Linked DNA regions of Oryzias latipes. The protein of the gene in region 1 purifies or fractionates together with the protein of each later gene. This does not show direct contact. Links are inferred from orthologs where the notes say so. Each region holds a gene or a part of one and is shown on either strand. Other genes may lie near its edges.

What was found.
Region 2: the proteins of uba6 (region 1) and usp48 fractionate together in Homo sapiens (co-fractionation; 3 studies listed by BioGRID, with this or other methods). This does not show direct contact. The link is inferred for Oryzias latipes from reciprocal best matches to the Homo sapiens genes UBA6 and USP48.

What each region holds. Positions count from the first base shown.
Region 1 is NC_019859.2:12,640,657-12,649,445, forward strand, and holds the start of uba6 (ubiquitin-like modifier-activating enzyme 6), read left to right. Parts: upstream 1-3,172; 5' UTR 3,173-3,256; intron 3,257-3,739; 5' UTR 3,740-3,788; coding exon 3,789-3,829; intron 3,830-3,947; coding exon 3,948-4,042; intron 4,043-4,149; coding exon 4,150-4,178; intron 4,179-4,280; coding exon 4,281-4,375; intron 4,376-4,926; coding exon 4,927-5,038; intron 5,039-5,426; coding exon 5,427-5,507; intron 5,508-5,599; coding exon 5,600-5,722; intron 5,723-5,887; coding exon 5,888-6,011; intron 6,012-6,129; coding exon 6,130-6,233; intron 6,234-6,327; coding exon 6,328-6,390; intron 6,391-6,632; coding exon 6,633-6,709; intron 6,710-6,807; coding exon 6,808-6,874; intron 6,875-7,145; coding exon 7,146-7,289; intron 7,290-7,675; coding exon 7,676-7,822; intron 7,823-7,899; coding exon 7,900-7,980; intron 7,981-8,060; coding exon 8,061-8,138; intron 8,139-8,251; coding exon 8,252-8,433; intron 8,434-8,698; coding exon 8,699-8,789. Other genes in the region: glyoxylate reductase/hydroxypyruvate reductase, read right to left, coding at 40-161, 238-368, 531-666, 815-919, 1,005-1,093, 1,182-1,298, 1,394-1,466, 1,559-1,692 and 1 more. UniProt on the Homo sapiens protein: Activates ubiquitin by first adenylating its C-terminal glycine residue with ATP, and thereafter linking this residue to the side chain of a cysteine residue in E1, yielding a ubiquitin-E1 thioester and free AMP.
Region 2 is NC_019863.2:19,922,334-19,929,249, forward strand, and holds the end of usp48 (ubiquitin carboxyl-terminal hydrolase 48), read right to left. Parts: intron 6,535-6,916; coding exon 6,412-6,534; intron 6,344-6,411; coding exon 6,282-6,343; intron 6,202-6,281; coding exon 6,091-6,201; intron 5,106-6,090; coding exon 4,978-5,105; intron 4,524-4,977; coding exon 4,417-4,523; intron 4,340-4,416; coding exon 4,232-4,339; intron 4,028-4,231; coding exon 3,833-4,027; intron 3,764-3,832; coding exon 3,638-3,763; intron 3,561-3,637; coding exon 3,512-3,560; intron 3,442-3,511; coding exon 3,415-3,441; intron 3,337-3,414; coding exon 3,314-3,336; 3' UTR 2,861-3,313; downstream 1-2,860.

The DNA of each region.
Region 1 (8,789 bases):
TTTTTCCAGAAGAATTCATTAATTGATGAGCGTGGCCCCCTACAGCTTGAGCTCCTTGATCATTGGCTCGCCTCGCAGGCCCAAGAGGAGGTTGTTGGCTGCAAGGGCAGACATGGCGTTCCGGGTTGTGTAGGATGCACTAGCAATATGTGGAAGAATCACTGTAGGTACAAGAAAATACAAATTAATATCAGAGAAACAAAGCATGTTGAATCATTCAAACCAAGATAGACCCACCGCAGTTTTTGAGGGTAAACAGTGGATGGTTAGTGGGCAGAGGCTCTGGGACGGTGACATCCAGACCAGCTCCTGCTATCTGACCAGCTGCCAAAGCCTCATACAGATCCTCCTGGTTCACGACTCCACCTCTGAGACAGCAAAAAAGGCGAGGAGAAGCCATCAGAAACCATGAGATCTTTTCAAATTAAAATAATTAGGCCACATCCTTTCCTACCATATTTACTTGCTAATAGGATAATAATATATACATGTGAATATTAGAGATGATGTCGTGTTTGAGGGTGGCGCACCTGCTTGTGTTGATAAAAATGGAGGTGTTTTTCATCTTGGAGAAAAGTTCTTTGTTGCAGATCTCCTTAGTCTCTGGTGTTAAAGCACAGCACACGGCCAGGAAATCCGACTGCTTTGCCAGTTCATCAAACGAGACTAAAACAAAAGAGATGCTACATGAAGATCTGACTTTGGTCCGAATGACGAGTTACAGTCTCTGCAGCCTTTATTCTCTTTTTCTCCTCTGTGCGAAGCTGTCATTTTCATAAATGAAAGCATAACAATGGGGAATCATAAATCTTACCGTATTCTGCGTTGATGGCTCTGGCCAGTTCGGGCCTGGGAGCCACGTCTGTGTAGATGAACTTTTTTACTTTAAAGGGTGCCAGGCGCTCTGCGATAGCTACACCTAGAGACGTATGCACGCACAGAAAACGTAAAATATCCAGAAATAACCACTACTCCATTGTCTAATGTGTAAGTCTCACACTTACCAATCCTTCCCAAACCCAGGATACCTACAGTGCTGTTGGCCAGTTCATGTCCACACAGCCAGAGAGTTCTCCATGTGCCCCAGCCACCACTGTCACAGGCAAAAGGATGTAATAAATGCAATCAAATTTTTGTAAATTCTGTGAGTTAGGAACTTGTTTTTAGAATAAAACCATTACGTCTTGGCTTCATGTGTGGCCTCTATGAGTCTCCTAGAGGTCGTCAGCAGCAGAGCCACAGTCAGCTCAGCAACTGCATCAGTTAGAACTTCAGGGGTGTAACCTACACGGATTCCTCTGCAGGAAAATGCAGAAATGTTATGTGGAAAAATGCAAATCCATGCTGTCAGATGTTTTCATTTCATGTTTTCTGCTGCGAAGAGAAAGGTCACCTTTTCTTCAGCTCATCTAAAGACAGATGATCAAAACCCACTGACATGGTACTGAGAACCTTTAGATTTGGACCTGCAGGGACAGATTTGCAAACTTTCATGATCTTGCACCAAAAAGTCTATTTTAATATATTAAAATATAAATAAAATAAAATAAAAACAGACCTGCAGAATCCAACAGTTCAGCATCAATCTTTTCTGTCAGCACGCAGAGCAGACCATCAACACCTTTGACCTTTTTCAGCAGCTCCGCCCTTGGTACAGGAACGTCGTCTGAGCCCCACAGCTCAAACTGCACCCTATAGGGCAAAACATGAAACCACAGATCTGAAGCAACCCCAATATGTCGTCATCAGCCGCAGAGGTCAGAAGTGCATAATGGGTTGAAATGAACAAACTCAAAAACACGGAGGCCTCATTGTTCTATGTACCATCAAAATTTCTATTTTAAATATTTGGAAATTTAAGATATAGATATATTAAAGAGGTTATGGAATTTGCAATCTTACAATTTCAAATGCAAACATTAAAAGTTTTCCTCTAAAAATGGGGATCTTTACAAAACAAATTTGTTGAAAGTGCTTCAATATCAGTGAGCAGCATGAAAGACATTTCAGAAAGACATATTTTTCTAACTTACTGTCCTGATTCTTTGAGGATCTTCAGTCCCTCAGGCGGGATCTGTCGGGTCACATACACCCGCTGGAGGGTGGACATTTCTCTCTGGACGTTACTTGGTACGCCTTCTTTGATGCTCAGGGGAGCAACAGCGATTTTCTGGAGCCGACGTAGTGCCATGCGACTGCCCCACATTGCCAAAGAAGAGCAAGCCTTTGGAAGATGAACGCAGTTCAGTCTGTTTCAGACTTAGTTTTGGCTGCAGCTCAGGGGGGTGGGGGGCTCCTGTGGGAGTTTGACCAATATGCTGAAAGGGAGGGTGCCTCTCAGACTAAGGTGCCCAGGGTTGAAAAATAGTTTTCTGACAAATGCAAGTCAGGGCTTTTTCTTGTTTAGGGTAAAATAGGAAAGAGGCCTTTTAGACTGAATTATATGCAAACAAGAATGCATTCAAAACTTGAAGTAACAGTTACTATTGTGTGTTCGTCATCGTTGTCTTGTAGAGCAACAGGAGTTGAACGGATGTAAATGTTTCACCAAACTGTTGACCTTTGCTTCTCTAAACAGTACAGCACCCAAACATGTTCTGTTCTATTTCTCCAGCTTCTCCAGTTCATCAAACCCTCATTCTTTACCCAAGTCAAATCAGGTCAAAGTGCAAATGATCATACAAAAAAGAAAGGGTTTTTGATAAAAATCAGTACATAAAAATTAAATAAAAAGGGACAAAATTGATATATCCTACAAAGCACATAAATACACAAATAAACAACACAAAAAAGATACAGTATACCATCAAAAAGATTGATAGACTGACTGAATAGAGCATGTGTGCATCAATATTGTCTTGGCAGCTCTGAATCTGAAAAAAGACAGGTTGTTTTTGCCTGTCATCCTCTATTTGACTGCAAAGATGAACAATCTCCTCCGGGTTGTTTAGATAATTTAGTACAGATGGTGGAAATAGCTGGAAAAACAATATGATCAAACACAATGTAATGGTACGTATTAATACCAATAGGGTTTTTTAAGATGATGCCGTTCTGCTAAAAAAAATATGCAGATTTAGTTTATTATTGTTATTATTAGTATTAGTTTATGTACTGTAATACTCATTTTAATCACCACGACATGATTGGATGACTGCTATCACGTGATTACTGTAACCCGGAACCACTTCAAATTTTCAACCACTCACAGCCATTCATTCGCCGAGGACCGTCGCGCATACTGTCAGCTATTAACGTAAGTCGTTTGGGTTTAGTTTTTAACTCTATAAATAATAAAACCTACATTGTCCTCGCTGAGTTGGAGATCTCTCTAAAAGATTGAACAACCCGGAAAGTTGCATATTATATTAACAAATGTGTGTCACCACTTTTTATGAGTTTACGGTGGCTGTCCTCGCTACCGGTAACTGGGCAGAAGTGAAATCCGTGGCTAGCTTGTGGCTAACGTTGCTTTTTCCTCTCGAGATTAGAAACGAGCATGCGCGATCATTATAAACAATTTGTAGTCGTTGTAACATTTGATCAGAACAAGTCCTATGTAACGAGTTCTAACCGTGAACTGTTACTGTTGACAACTTGCCTCCCATCAAATGTCAGCTAGCCGCCAAGCTATACTTTTAATAAATAGGGCGTTGGTCCACATTGCATCTATTTACACTAAAGTGTCTCACATCTTCGATATCAACTTTCTATTTGTTACGTGCACCTTCTTCTTAAGGTAGAGTCGCTATCTTTAAACCGGCTGAATCAGCCCTTTTCCTCCCAGCATGGCTGCAGACTTGATGGAGATTGACGACTCACTTTACAGGCAAGTGCAGTTTTTGGTGTTCTTTTTTTTCTTCTTCTGATGACCTGAAGCTCCACGTGCAGCTGTCTGTCTCCTTGGTGAGTGTAGCTAACATCTTTATTTATGTGCTTCCTAATAGCCGCCAGAGATATGTGCTTGGAGACGGTGCCATGCAGCAGATGGCCCAGTCCTCTGTCTTTCTTAGTGGAATGGGAGCACTGGGAGTGGAGATAGGTGAGCAAGAGAAGAGGACACACGTTTGCACCACAACTCTTTATCTTTGATAGATTCAAAAAAAAAAAAAAAAAAAAAAATCATACTCAATCATTTCCTTCTTACAGCCAAGAATATAACTCTGGCAGGTGTGAAGGTAAGAGGGCTTTTAAACTTTTCTTGTAATAAAATAGCAAACATGTCTTTTTTTTTTTAGTTAAGGGGTTTTATTATATATATATTTTTTATTTTTAAACAGACGGTTACTCTCCATGACACGAAACTGTGTGAGACTTGGGATCTGGGGTGTAACTTCTTCATCCGTAGAGATGACGTATTGAACCAGAGGAAGAGGTAATAATGCATTCTGCAAGTCCAAGCATTGGTTTCTAAAGATGATTAACTGCTATATGTGATTATGAATTGGTTTGTAAAGAACCACTTCAATTAAAAATCAGGTTTTTGGTGTTTTTAATTTGTTTTTGTGGCAATTTTTCTCATGATGGAGGGCATGTATAAAAAAATATTAGGCTTTATACTGCATTTCTGAATATTTTTGTTATTTATTAAAATGAACTACTACTGCCCTGTAGAAACTGTGTCCCAGAAAAAAAATAGCATGATCATAATTAAAAGACATCTGGGAACACGTTTTGAATAGATCAAAAGATGATCGGAGTAGGACTTTAGGTGCAGCAAAAACTCAGGTCTATGCATGGCTTTTGTCAACTCATTTGTTACTAAATAACATGCGTAGAAGCCTAGATGAGAGAACTTGAAAATTAGTTAATAGCCACTTGATCTTATCGTTACTTATGAAAAAGTTTTTTCTTTTTTTTTCTGTCCTTTTGTTGTGGATTTTGTCTTGTGTACCAATACTCAGCCTCTTGTTTTGCCTGTTACAGGGTGGAAGCAGTGTGCCCTCGTGTTGGGGAGTTGAACCCTTATGTTCATGTTGACATGTCCTCCTGTCCCCTGGATGACAACATTGACCTGAGTTTTCTCAAAAAGTATCAGGTAAGTCGACATATTTTATGTTATGTTATGTTCACACCGAGCGTGTGTGGCGCCTAAACCTGGGTTCTATAACACACATTTGGGTGTTCACACTGGACAAGCTGGCAGAGGCTTCTTCTGCTTTTTCTTTTGCTACTGTTTACTAGCACATGTCCACCACCTACATTTGGAAGACGTTATGCTGTTCTTGGACTAGTTTGTTGAATTTTTCCAGAAAAAACGTCAGATCAGCAAGAAATCTGCAAATGCTCTTGTGCTATTGGCAGCTTTATATTAAATTGTACTGTCAACTTTTATGAAAGAAAATTTTTGTCATAATTTAAGACAAGATTATTCCTGTATTCCTGAAGGTATTACTATATACTGACTGCTGTGCTTTCCCCTGCAGTGTGTGATTTTGACAGAGTCCAGCTTGAGCCTGCAGAAGAGAATAAATAAGTTCTGCCACTCCCAGCAGCCTCCCATAAGAGTGAGTTTACAGTCATTCCCCTGGTTTTACCAAGATCAATATTACTTATAACAAAAACGGTTTATTTAAAATAAAAAATATGTCTGTGTTAGTTTATCTCTAGTGACGCTTATGGAATCTGTGTCCGGGTCTTTTGTGATTTCGGAGAAGCGTTTGAGGTCTCGGATCCCACAGGGGAGGAGCTCAAGGAGATTTTCATCCAAAGTATCACTCAGGTAGTCATAATACTTTCACATTCTGTTCTTCAAATTAAGACTCCTCCCTGTTCCTCTGCTTATGCCTCTTGGAATTTACATAAAGTTATCTAATCAGTTATCCTGATATTTTTGTTTTGTTGCTGAACTTGTCCTTTTCTTCTTTTTTTTCCATATTTTTTTCAGGACAATTCTGGGGTGGTTACTTGCATAGACAACCAACCCCATGGTCTGCAGACGGGCCAGAGCGTTATCTTTAGAGAAATCAATGGCATGGTGGAGCTCAATGGCACCACACGGCAGGTTTCAGGTGGGTCTTTAATCCAGCACATCAATGCCACCACATGCAAATACAAAAGTAACCTAATCTAAGTAACATTTGTCCTGTTTCTGTTTCTCTGGGTGTGTGAATGTGTTTGCTGCATTAGTCATTTCCTCCCATAGCTTTGAAATAGGAGACACGTCGCACTTCCAGCCATATGAACACGGAGGCTTCTTTGTTATGGTTAAAACTCCTCAGATTTACAAATTTGTGAGTACAAAATAAATGTAAAAAATAATGCAGACATATTCAAATAACTACATTTGAGCACACGACTTTACATGTTTTACTTTTTTTTTTTTAGGAAACATTAGAACAGCAGCTGTGTGATCCTCAGGTCCTAATTCCAGATCTCAGTAAACCAGAGGTGAGTTTTTCAAAAACTCAGTTGTGGACAGGTTTGTTGTTTGGCCTTAATTCTGGTTTGCAGCCTTACGAGGTTGCCTCGCTACTCCACACAAATCACCATGGTAACACAAGCAGTGTACCAACTTTCACCTTGGAGTGGTTGGGTTTGATCAGGCCCCAAAATTCCTTGAGTTTGTCATGTGTGAGACATATTTTTGAGTTGTCTGGAAACCTCACTGTGGTTTGAAATCCTCCCATCAGGCTCCGTTACACATTCATGCAGCCATGCTGGCACTAGATGCCTTCCAGGAAAAGCACGGCAGACTTCCCAACATTGGGTAATCAGACTTCTAGATTTTTTTATGCTTTCATTTGGGAAAAAAAAACTGTAATGAGCTGTTTGAAGGTTTCCTCAGTTTTGCTTTGATGTCATCAGATGTTTAGAGGACGCCGAGGCTCTACTAAAGCTAACCGAGGAAGTCAGTGTCACTCATAAGAACAAAGTAAGTGTTTTCCAATTATAGCTTTAAAGTCAAATGTGTCCCGGAGAGTTCCTTATCCATATTTATCTTGCACCTTTTTTAGAACACTATGAAGTTGAACAAAAATTTAAAATTTAGCCAAATAGATTTTTGCCTTTCTTATAACCATTATTTCAGATTTTATTCTGCCACTTATCTATACAAGGTAGCTCTACTGTTCCTCATCTTTAATCTTGCTGCTTTTTTATGTATTTTTTGCTGAAGTTTTAGTCTCCTCTTTCTGTCCCCACAGCTTCCTGTGAACGCTGAGTTGGTGCGCTGCATGTCTAAAACAGCCAGAGGGACTCTTCCACCTCTAGCTGCAGCAGCTGGAGGAATAGCCAGTCAGGAAGTTTTAAAGGCCATCACTGGAAAGTTTGGGCCTCTGCAGCAATGGGTAGGTTACTAAAATTGTTCTTCTTTGTGATTTCTTTTATTTATTTATTTTTTTATATTTAAAGACCTGCTCCGATGAGACCAGAGGTGCCCAAATTCAGGCATCTCTGGTATAAACAGACAGATGATGGGAAGTTGGGGTGGGTTTACTCCGTGCCAACAGTCCCGCTCACAACTCGTAGGCAAATTTCTAATAAACTACAGCCTCTCTGCAGAAACGATGTCCTAGAAAACAGGACATGTGCTTTTGTTCTTTGATTTTGGCTAAAAACAGCACAACAATAATTAAGACTACTGGAAAAGCTTTAAAATAGATCAAAAGATGATCAGAGTCTGACTTTTCACTGTTGATTTGATTTAATTGAATACCGCTTCTCTCCTGTTTAGTTTTATCTTGATGCTCTGGAGGTAGTCCGGCCTCTTCAGTCCCTGTCTGCTGAGGAGTTCTTCCCCAGAGGCGATCGATATGACGGATTACGAGCGTGCATCGGAGAATCAATGTTGCTTGAACTGCACAAGCTCAGGGTCTTCATGGTACGAGCCGGCCTGTATTAACCTTACCAAAGACTGTTGATGTCTGGATAAAAACGTCCATTATTTTCTCCTCGAAGGTTGGTTGTGGTGCCATAGGTTGCGAGATGCTAAAAAATTTTGCTCTTCTTGGAGTGGGCCTGGCTAAAAGCTTAGGAGAGGTGAGCATATCGTTTTATTAATAAACATTTGTTTATTGCGTGTACATTTCTAAAATGATTTGTTGTTTTTCACCTGACAGGTGTGCATCACAGACCCAGACCTGATAGAAAAGTCCAACCTTAACAGGCAGTTTCTCTTCAGACCGCATCATATCCAGGTAAGCACATCTTTCGATTACGGCCCTTTTTTTTTTTTAATCAATGGAATTCTCTTCCAAACATATAATCATACTTTTTTTATTTAATTTCTTAATCGTCTCTCTGCACTCAGACACCAAAGAGCACCACAGCAGCAGAAGCAACGCGTGAAATCAACCCAGAGCTGCAGATAGATGCCCACTTAAACAAAGTGTGCCCGGCTACCGAGAGCATCTACAGCGACTCCTTCTATTCTTCGCTGAACGTTGTGGTCACTGCGCTGGACAACGTGGAGGCACGGAGATATGTGGACAGGTGTGTGAGGAGTAGGCAGTTTTTCAACAATACAGTTGAAAAGGGTTCCTCCAAATTAGCCTTTGGTTCTTGATTCTTTTGCAACAGTCTTTTTTTTTTTCCTTTTTCATTTGAACTCGATGTTTTTATCCAAAGTATATCTTGTGTAAAATGAACGTGCTAGTTCATGTTTAAACCTGTTCATCTTGAAAACGAGATGACACATCTCAAGGGGCTTATCCTACAAACAAATACATGTGAAATGTGAAAAACGTGTCGTTTTCAGCCGCTGCTTGTGCAATCAGAGACCCCTCCTGGATTCTGGCACCATGGGGACAAAAGGACACACCGAGATCATTGTGCCATACCTGACAGAG
Region 2 (6,916 bases), on another chromosome or scaffold:
AACCAGAGAACAACACAAAAGCATTCATTTACACACGTTTTCTGTCTTCAGTCTGCTGTCTCACCTGGGAGGCGCTGGTGCGGTCCAGCTGAACGGTGCTCGCTTGTGAAGGACTGTGGTTCAGGTGCTCCGCAGATGCTCACGCAGTGGGCGGAGCCTCGGCCATTCATCCCAAATCGTCGTGATGCGTTTAAAGACTTACGGGAAAAACTTTGTCGGGGGAAAAAGGATGGATACATCATCAAAACTAAACCACAGAGGATCGATCCTTCATGTTTAACTCTAGAACTACTGAGGCAGTCATTTTGACTGTTTTCAAAACTTGCAAGTCTTGGTTTAACAGACTTCTGTGGTATTTTTTTGTGTCTATTTTTCCTTTAGAAAGTGAAATATTATATTATTAAAACTATAATTTTACAGTTCTTTAGACAGGCAGTCAGATTGCATTTCTTCTAAAATGTTGGACCAACAAATGTACTCATACTCTTTAGTAGTGTCCTTGTGCAGAGGAGGGAATAATGACTAAAATGAACTGGGTAGCTATTTGTAAAAAAAAAAAAAATAATACAATTTAAGGTACTTTTACAATACCAAACGGCTTACTTTTGCTGCAGTCAGCTATATGGCTGTTTTCATTCAGTTACCTTTATTTTCATAGTAAAAGTTGTTTGCTTTATTCTAAGGAGGCACAATACCTTTGTGATGGCTGCCTATGCTGCCACCCTGCACCACACCCTACATATATCTGTTCACTTTTTTTGTTTGCATATACTTTTAGTTTTCTTTTTTCAAACATAACCCAAACACATGTTTGAACATGAAATTTATTAACATGTTTCAGTTTACTTTATTATAATCTGCTTCATTAATTTGATGTTTTGTTTGAGTTACCAGTGCTGAGGGAACCGTTGTTGCTGTTGTTGTTGTTGTTGCTGCTGCTGCTGCTGCTGGTGCTGGAACCAGCAAGTCAGGCCTGACACAACAATGCATGCCAGTCAGCAGAGGCTTCATGTTTAGCAGGCAGCTAATTGGACTGAACCATAGTGGACAAGGAACTCTTTTTGGTGTTTCTTTACCTTAGTTTCTATTTTGATGATCTTTATTTGTCATTCATTTGTGTATGTTAATTTACCAAAGGATGGACTTAAGTTTAGTTTGTTTGTTGTAGTTTGTCTTAGTCTTTTTAAGTTCCCCCTTGTGTGTCTAGTTGGTTTGATCTGCCACTATATATGTTCCCTTGTGTTTTTAATTAGGTAGGTCAGTTTAATTAAGTTGGTTTGTCTGTTCAGTTGTCCTCTGTTACATTTAAAAGCTTGAGTTAATTTTGTTACTTGGACCTCTTTTAAGGGCCCATTTTTTCCCATTTCCACTTTTTGAAAAATAAATTTAAATATTTTTGATAAAATTGTTTGCTGTCCTTGACTTCCACTGCTTGGTCCACCACAATTTGGCAGACAGTTAAGTAAGAGGGTCCTTGTCAACGTTGGTCAGTATCAAGATTTCAAACCGCAAATCTCACCTTATAGTTTAGCTTCGACTGTACAACCAGAAGCTCATTAATGCTCCAATGCAGCAGAGATGAGCTTAAAACAACATTTTTATGCTGAAAAGTCATTGTAGCAGGAAAAAATACCGGGATTGCAAGATATTCTAATGAAAGACAGCAAAAATGTAAATATTGTATATTGATAATTATTGTGTTTTGCCCAACAGATTTGAACAATACTAGCTTATTGAATTGGAATTTTATGCATCTCAAATTTTATTGTAGGCATCAGTGGAAGCCCTTCTGTTACCAAAGGGGCTGCAAACACTATGAGAAGGTTTATTTTCTGTTAAAATAATACTTAAAATTACTTAAATTTACACATTAAAGAAAGAAAAATCAATCAAGGTATTGAAGTAGCTTTTTTAGTTTTATTCTTGTTAATACAAATATTCAGACAAGTAGTTTTCACCTTTACTTTTAAAGCAATGCTACTATTGAGTACAATTTTTGGACACGACTTCCCTCTGGGCACGTGTTTATGTACATGCATACGTGTTAGCCTGTGTGCACCTATATGTGTCTGCACATTAGCCTGTCTGCGTGCAACCGTGTGTCCACACTAGTCCGTGTGCACAGGTGAGCATCTGTCCGTGTGCACTTGTCTCTGCATGTAACCCCGTTTGCTTGTGCATGAGTGTGCTTGAGTATGTCAATGTAGATGCTCTTCAATGCAGCTCCCAGCTCCAGTTTGAGGACAGATTATGAGGAGTCAGCACCTGCAGGCCATGAGAAGCATCAGGAAATATCCCAATTAGATTAAAGAAAACTGTAAAGGCAGAATCTAGGTTCTGTCCAGCTGTGGGCCTGAAAAGAGAAAGCAAGTAATCCTCCTGAGGGTCGACGACCTGCTCAATGAAACTGACATGCACACACACAGCTTCTCGGTTAGGTAATGTAAACAAGCAGAACCACATGTGTGAATGACTGAACAGAACACAAAATCTGGAGAATCTGATAGAGTTAAGATCTTTGGGACTGGAGACCAGCCACACTCCGGTTCATGTTTTCTGTTTTTAATATTAGTCACAGTAGTGAAACGTTTGTCTTCAGAAATTCAATGTTTCAATGAGGAAAAAGTGTTTTGAGCAAAGATTTATTTCATATAATCTCAAATGTAATTGTAATTATGAGCAATTTATCTTAGAATTATTTATCATTTTCTTTTAGGTTTACAGGATTTTAGCTTCATAGTTTAAACTCCATCAGAGTTTAAAGTTAGTGTCACATCATTTTGCTGAGTTTAATTTATACGTAAAGCTGTAAAATGCAAAATAATGCAGGAATCAGAATACTTTTCAAGACTTTACAAACTGAGATCAGAAAATAATTTATTTTTCATTCACAAATCAGATAACCAATATTTTCTGTCATTTATCTGCTTCCATAGAAACTCTTAAACCCTCAACTTGAAAACAAAAATGCAATATGTTCCCTCTCAACCACAATCCTTGTATTTCGGTCAGTGTTTGTCTGCATGGTTCGGCAGAACATTTGGAAGAATCTGGACCTACTGGAGTCTTTTGACACATTTAAGAAGTTAAACTTCTACAATCAGAAGTGTTTCTGACCATAAAACCTCGTTGCTCTGCTGACCCCCCCCTCGCCAGCCACCATATGCCTCAGTTTGACGATTACGGGCACCACGCTGACAGCTTCAAGAAAACTTGGTGAAAACATTAAAAATTAAAGCACTTATTTATTTATAGACACTTGACAAATTCAAGCTTTTGTGTAAAACATCATCGGTCATGGCTGCAGCGTTCCTCAGTGTCCCAGAAGCCCCGTTCCTGCAGACAGAAAAGGCTGTTAGTGGAGCAGAGGGCGTGAACGTGCTCCTGTTTGCATGTGCGATCGTTGAACCTCACCTTTGAACCCCTCCTCCGGTAGCCTCACTGTGGATGAAGCAGACAACGTCAGTGGAACCTTCAGGATTTGAGAGCTTCTGCAGATCAACACACTTACCTTGATAGGCGTCATCCATGGCGGCGTAATCTGCGATGGGTTCGTCGGCCTGCGGGGGGACACAGTCACGAGCGTTACCAGAACTATCAGACACAAGAATGACTCCCCCCACCCCCAGTATCAAACCTTTAAGCATATGATGCTCTCTGGGACGACGCCCAGGCTGCCCAGCGTGGCCGAGTCATCCGTCAGGCTCTTTCCATCAATGGAGAGGTTTTGGTCAAATGGCGCCACAGAAAAGGCGTGCATGATCTGCAGCAACACAGGGAGTCAGAGCCGCTCACTCACATCTTTATTACCTGCAGAGCTCCTCCCCCTTACCTGTATCTTCAGCTCCTTTAGCGTCTGATTGGCTGAGACAATGAGGGCTTTCTCCCCCCGCAGTTTCCGATGTCGAGTACTCCTCCTGATCCCGCCCACTTTGGCTGAGGTGGTCACAGGAAGAGCTGCAGGAGCGACAGTGCCATCGGCCAGTCTCAGCCGCTTCGCCCCATCCTGAGACTGCAGCAGGGCCGACTGAAAGCAACAGAGCAGACAGACAGGGGGTGAGCAGTCAGGTGACTCTGAACCCGCGTGGGACCACGCAGGCGGATGCCACACCCCTTTTGATCTAACAAAACTGCTGTCGACAGCTCAGCACACATCAATGCTAGGATTATTTCTGCAGACTGAGAAAGAGCCACACGCAGCTGTCAGGTGATGAGACTGGTCGCAACACACCTGACTAAAATCTGGGTCTTCGCCTCCTTCCAACTTCAGATGCTCCTCTCGCTCCTCCTCAGCCTCGGAGCTGCTGGCGTTCATCTCTGGAGTCACATCCTTCACCATCTGTGCAGAAATGGTAGAGCGGGTTAAACCGTGACCTTCCTGCGCAGAAGTTGCGGGTGCTCTGTGCGCTGGCTCACCCTGGCGTCTTCCAGGACTTTGCGGATGTAGATGGTTGCTTGGTTGTACTCTCTGAGGTCCTTCTGCTGCTGGAACAGGAAGCTCTCCCTGCAGTCCCAGCACAGCTCTGAACACACACCAGACTCGGGTCAAACACAAACACCAGGGTCTGCCAGCACCCTGAAGTAGCCTCTATGCCATTTTACACTCATTAGCAAAATATATTTATGCCAGGACTCAACTTAGTTAAGCATCACCTTGAAAGAAAAAAAAACAACAAAGAATTTCTATTTACTTAATCAGAAATAAAGTCAGGCAGTAATCTATCAAATTCTTTTGATTGATCCCAGATTACCAGAAGTCTAATTTGAAGCCACTCGTGCTGCTGCTTTGTGCATCATTTCTCTGCCAAGACTAAATCTGATAAGGAATTCGTGTTTAAATAAAGCCAAAGTATTTTTCAGAATATCCTCTGAGATGACGGACCAGGAGCCTTTCTGCTGCGACACATGAACACACGTTTTATATGAGCTGCAAATGTTAAGATGTAAGCGGACTGAGCGCTGAGCTGCAGATCTTACCAGGCTGGGTGGTGTACTGAGGGGTGGAGCCCTCCGTGCTCTCTCTGAGGCAGTGGATGGATATGGCCTGATCAACGATGAACAGTCTGCTGATGACCTCCCACTCGCTGGGCCAGAGCAGAGCTATACTGTGCCAGACAGACAGCACAACATGAGAGGGCAGCAGCAACACCTCGCTGTCTGTTATGTGTGTGTGTGAGAGAACAGACCCAAAGCTAGAATTGAAGGATTGTTTCCCTCTGATGAGGGATGAGTTTTTAACAGGTTCTTGTGGCATTTTTCTGATGACGGAGGACATATTTAAAAAAAAATTAAGCTAAAAAATGCATTTCTTAGTATTTCTTCAAGTTGTTGTGAATCAGAAGCGGAGGAAAAGATGGCGTTGGAAAAAGAGCTCATTTGTGATGGAGAAAATACACTTGGCGGGCCACAACTAATGTTTGGACGTCAGAATTTATTTCGCGGCAGAACATAAACAAACCAGCCTTCGGGACCGAATATCCGCGGGACTCATGTCACTTACATTAACCTTATACTGACCATGCCATTTGAAGACATAATTACTTTGGTTAACGGCTGTTTTAACGTCCTAAAAGAACGGTGGTGCCGCCCGGACGTTGACGCCTGAAGACCCCTGAAAGCGCGGCTGTTCTCCCCACTTTGTGAAGAGATGGGAGCAAAACACTCGGCTGTGGTTCCACAGCGAGGCCAGGAGGTAAGATTATGACATGGTGTTAAAGTTGAACATATTTGGCATATTTTGTCACAGTTTCTTTGCGGTGGGAGAGAATGAACATTTTTTTCCTCAAAGGGGGGAGGGGCAAGAGACAAAATTTGAGAACCACTGGTATAACATAAATAGACACTATTTGATAAGGTTAAACATTACATATCAAATATAGTGTTTGGCCCGTCTAATTGTCTTTACTGCTTCACAGTTTGACCCCCTGATTTAGGTAGAATTTACACAGAATTAGATTTCATGTTAAAAAAAACAAAAACCTGATCATTGAGCCTGGGGGGGGGGGCTGCAGAGGTTGTTACATGCAGTGATCCTGCATCCTTACATCGTCTTTCCTTGATCAAAGACAGAAAACGGGAAGCTGAACTCACTGCTGAGCGTCGCCACTGATCAAGGAGTCGTAGGTGAACATGAACCCCCCATGAGGGCACAACAGGAGGCTGTTCCCCACGTTAGACACTGGGGAGGATTTAGTGGGCCTCCTGCAGAGCAAACACAGCTGTAAGATCTGAACTTTTCTCCTGATGAATTGAGAAAAAAACTTAAGCTAAAGGAAACAAACCTGATGAACTTCCTCCACTCCTCCACAAAGAACAGAGGAACCACATACAGAACATCCGTGTTCTGAGGAAACAAACGTGAGTCAGAGGAGGAGTGCCAGGGCGGTTTCAGAGACTCGGTCTGGTTCTGACCTGAGGCCACTTTGAAAGCGTGGGCCGGTTCTTCTCATGGAAGAGGTTGAGCAGCTGGTTCTTCTGGTCAAGCGCCATCATCTTACTGACGGCCTCATTGTCCTTCTCCTCCTGCTCCAAAGTCTGGACACAAAGAGGAGCCACATGACCGTTACCTGAACTGTGACCATCGTCAGCCTGTTTAATTTTTTGATTCATTTTTAACATCTATATCTAAAATGTAAAACTAAATTAGATTAAACCTAAAATAATATAAGAAAGCTAAAAATATTTTAAAAATGTAAAAGTTTTCTATTTTATATTTTTTATATTTCTATTTTATAGTCAAGCCTGAAACTTTTGCAGAAAACATGAAGAAATATTAAAGTTCAATCAAATATTTCCATCTCTAAATGTCCTTTTGAACACTAAAACATGTGCATCTTAAGCTATCAGCATACACATATATTTTCACAGGAAATGTATGTTTCTGTTCTAAAGAGAGTATCTTTCAACTCTGGAGATT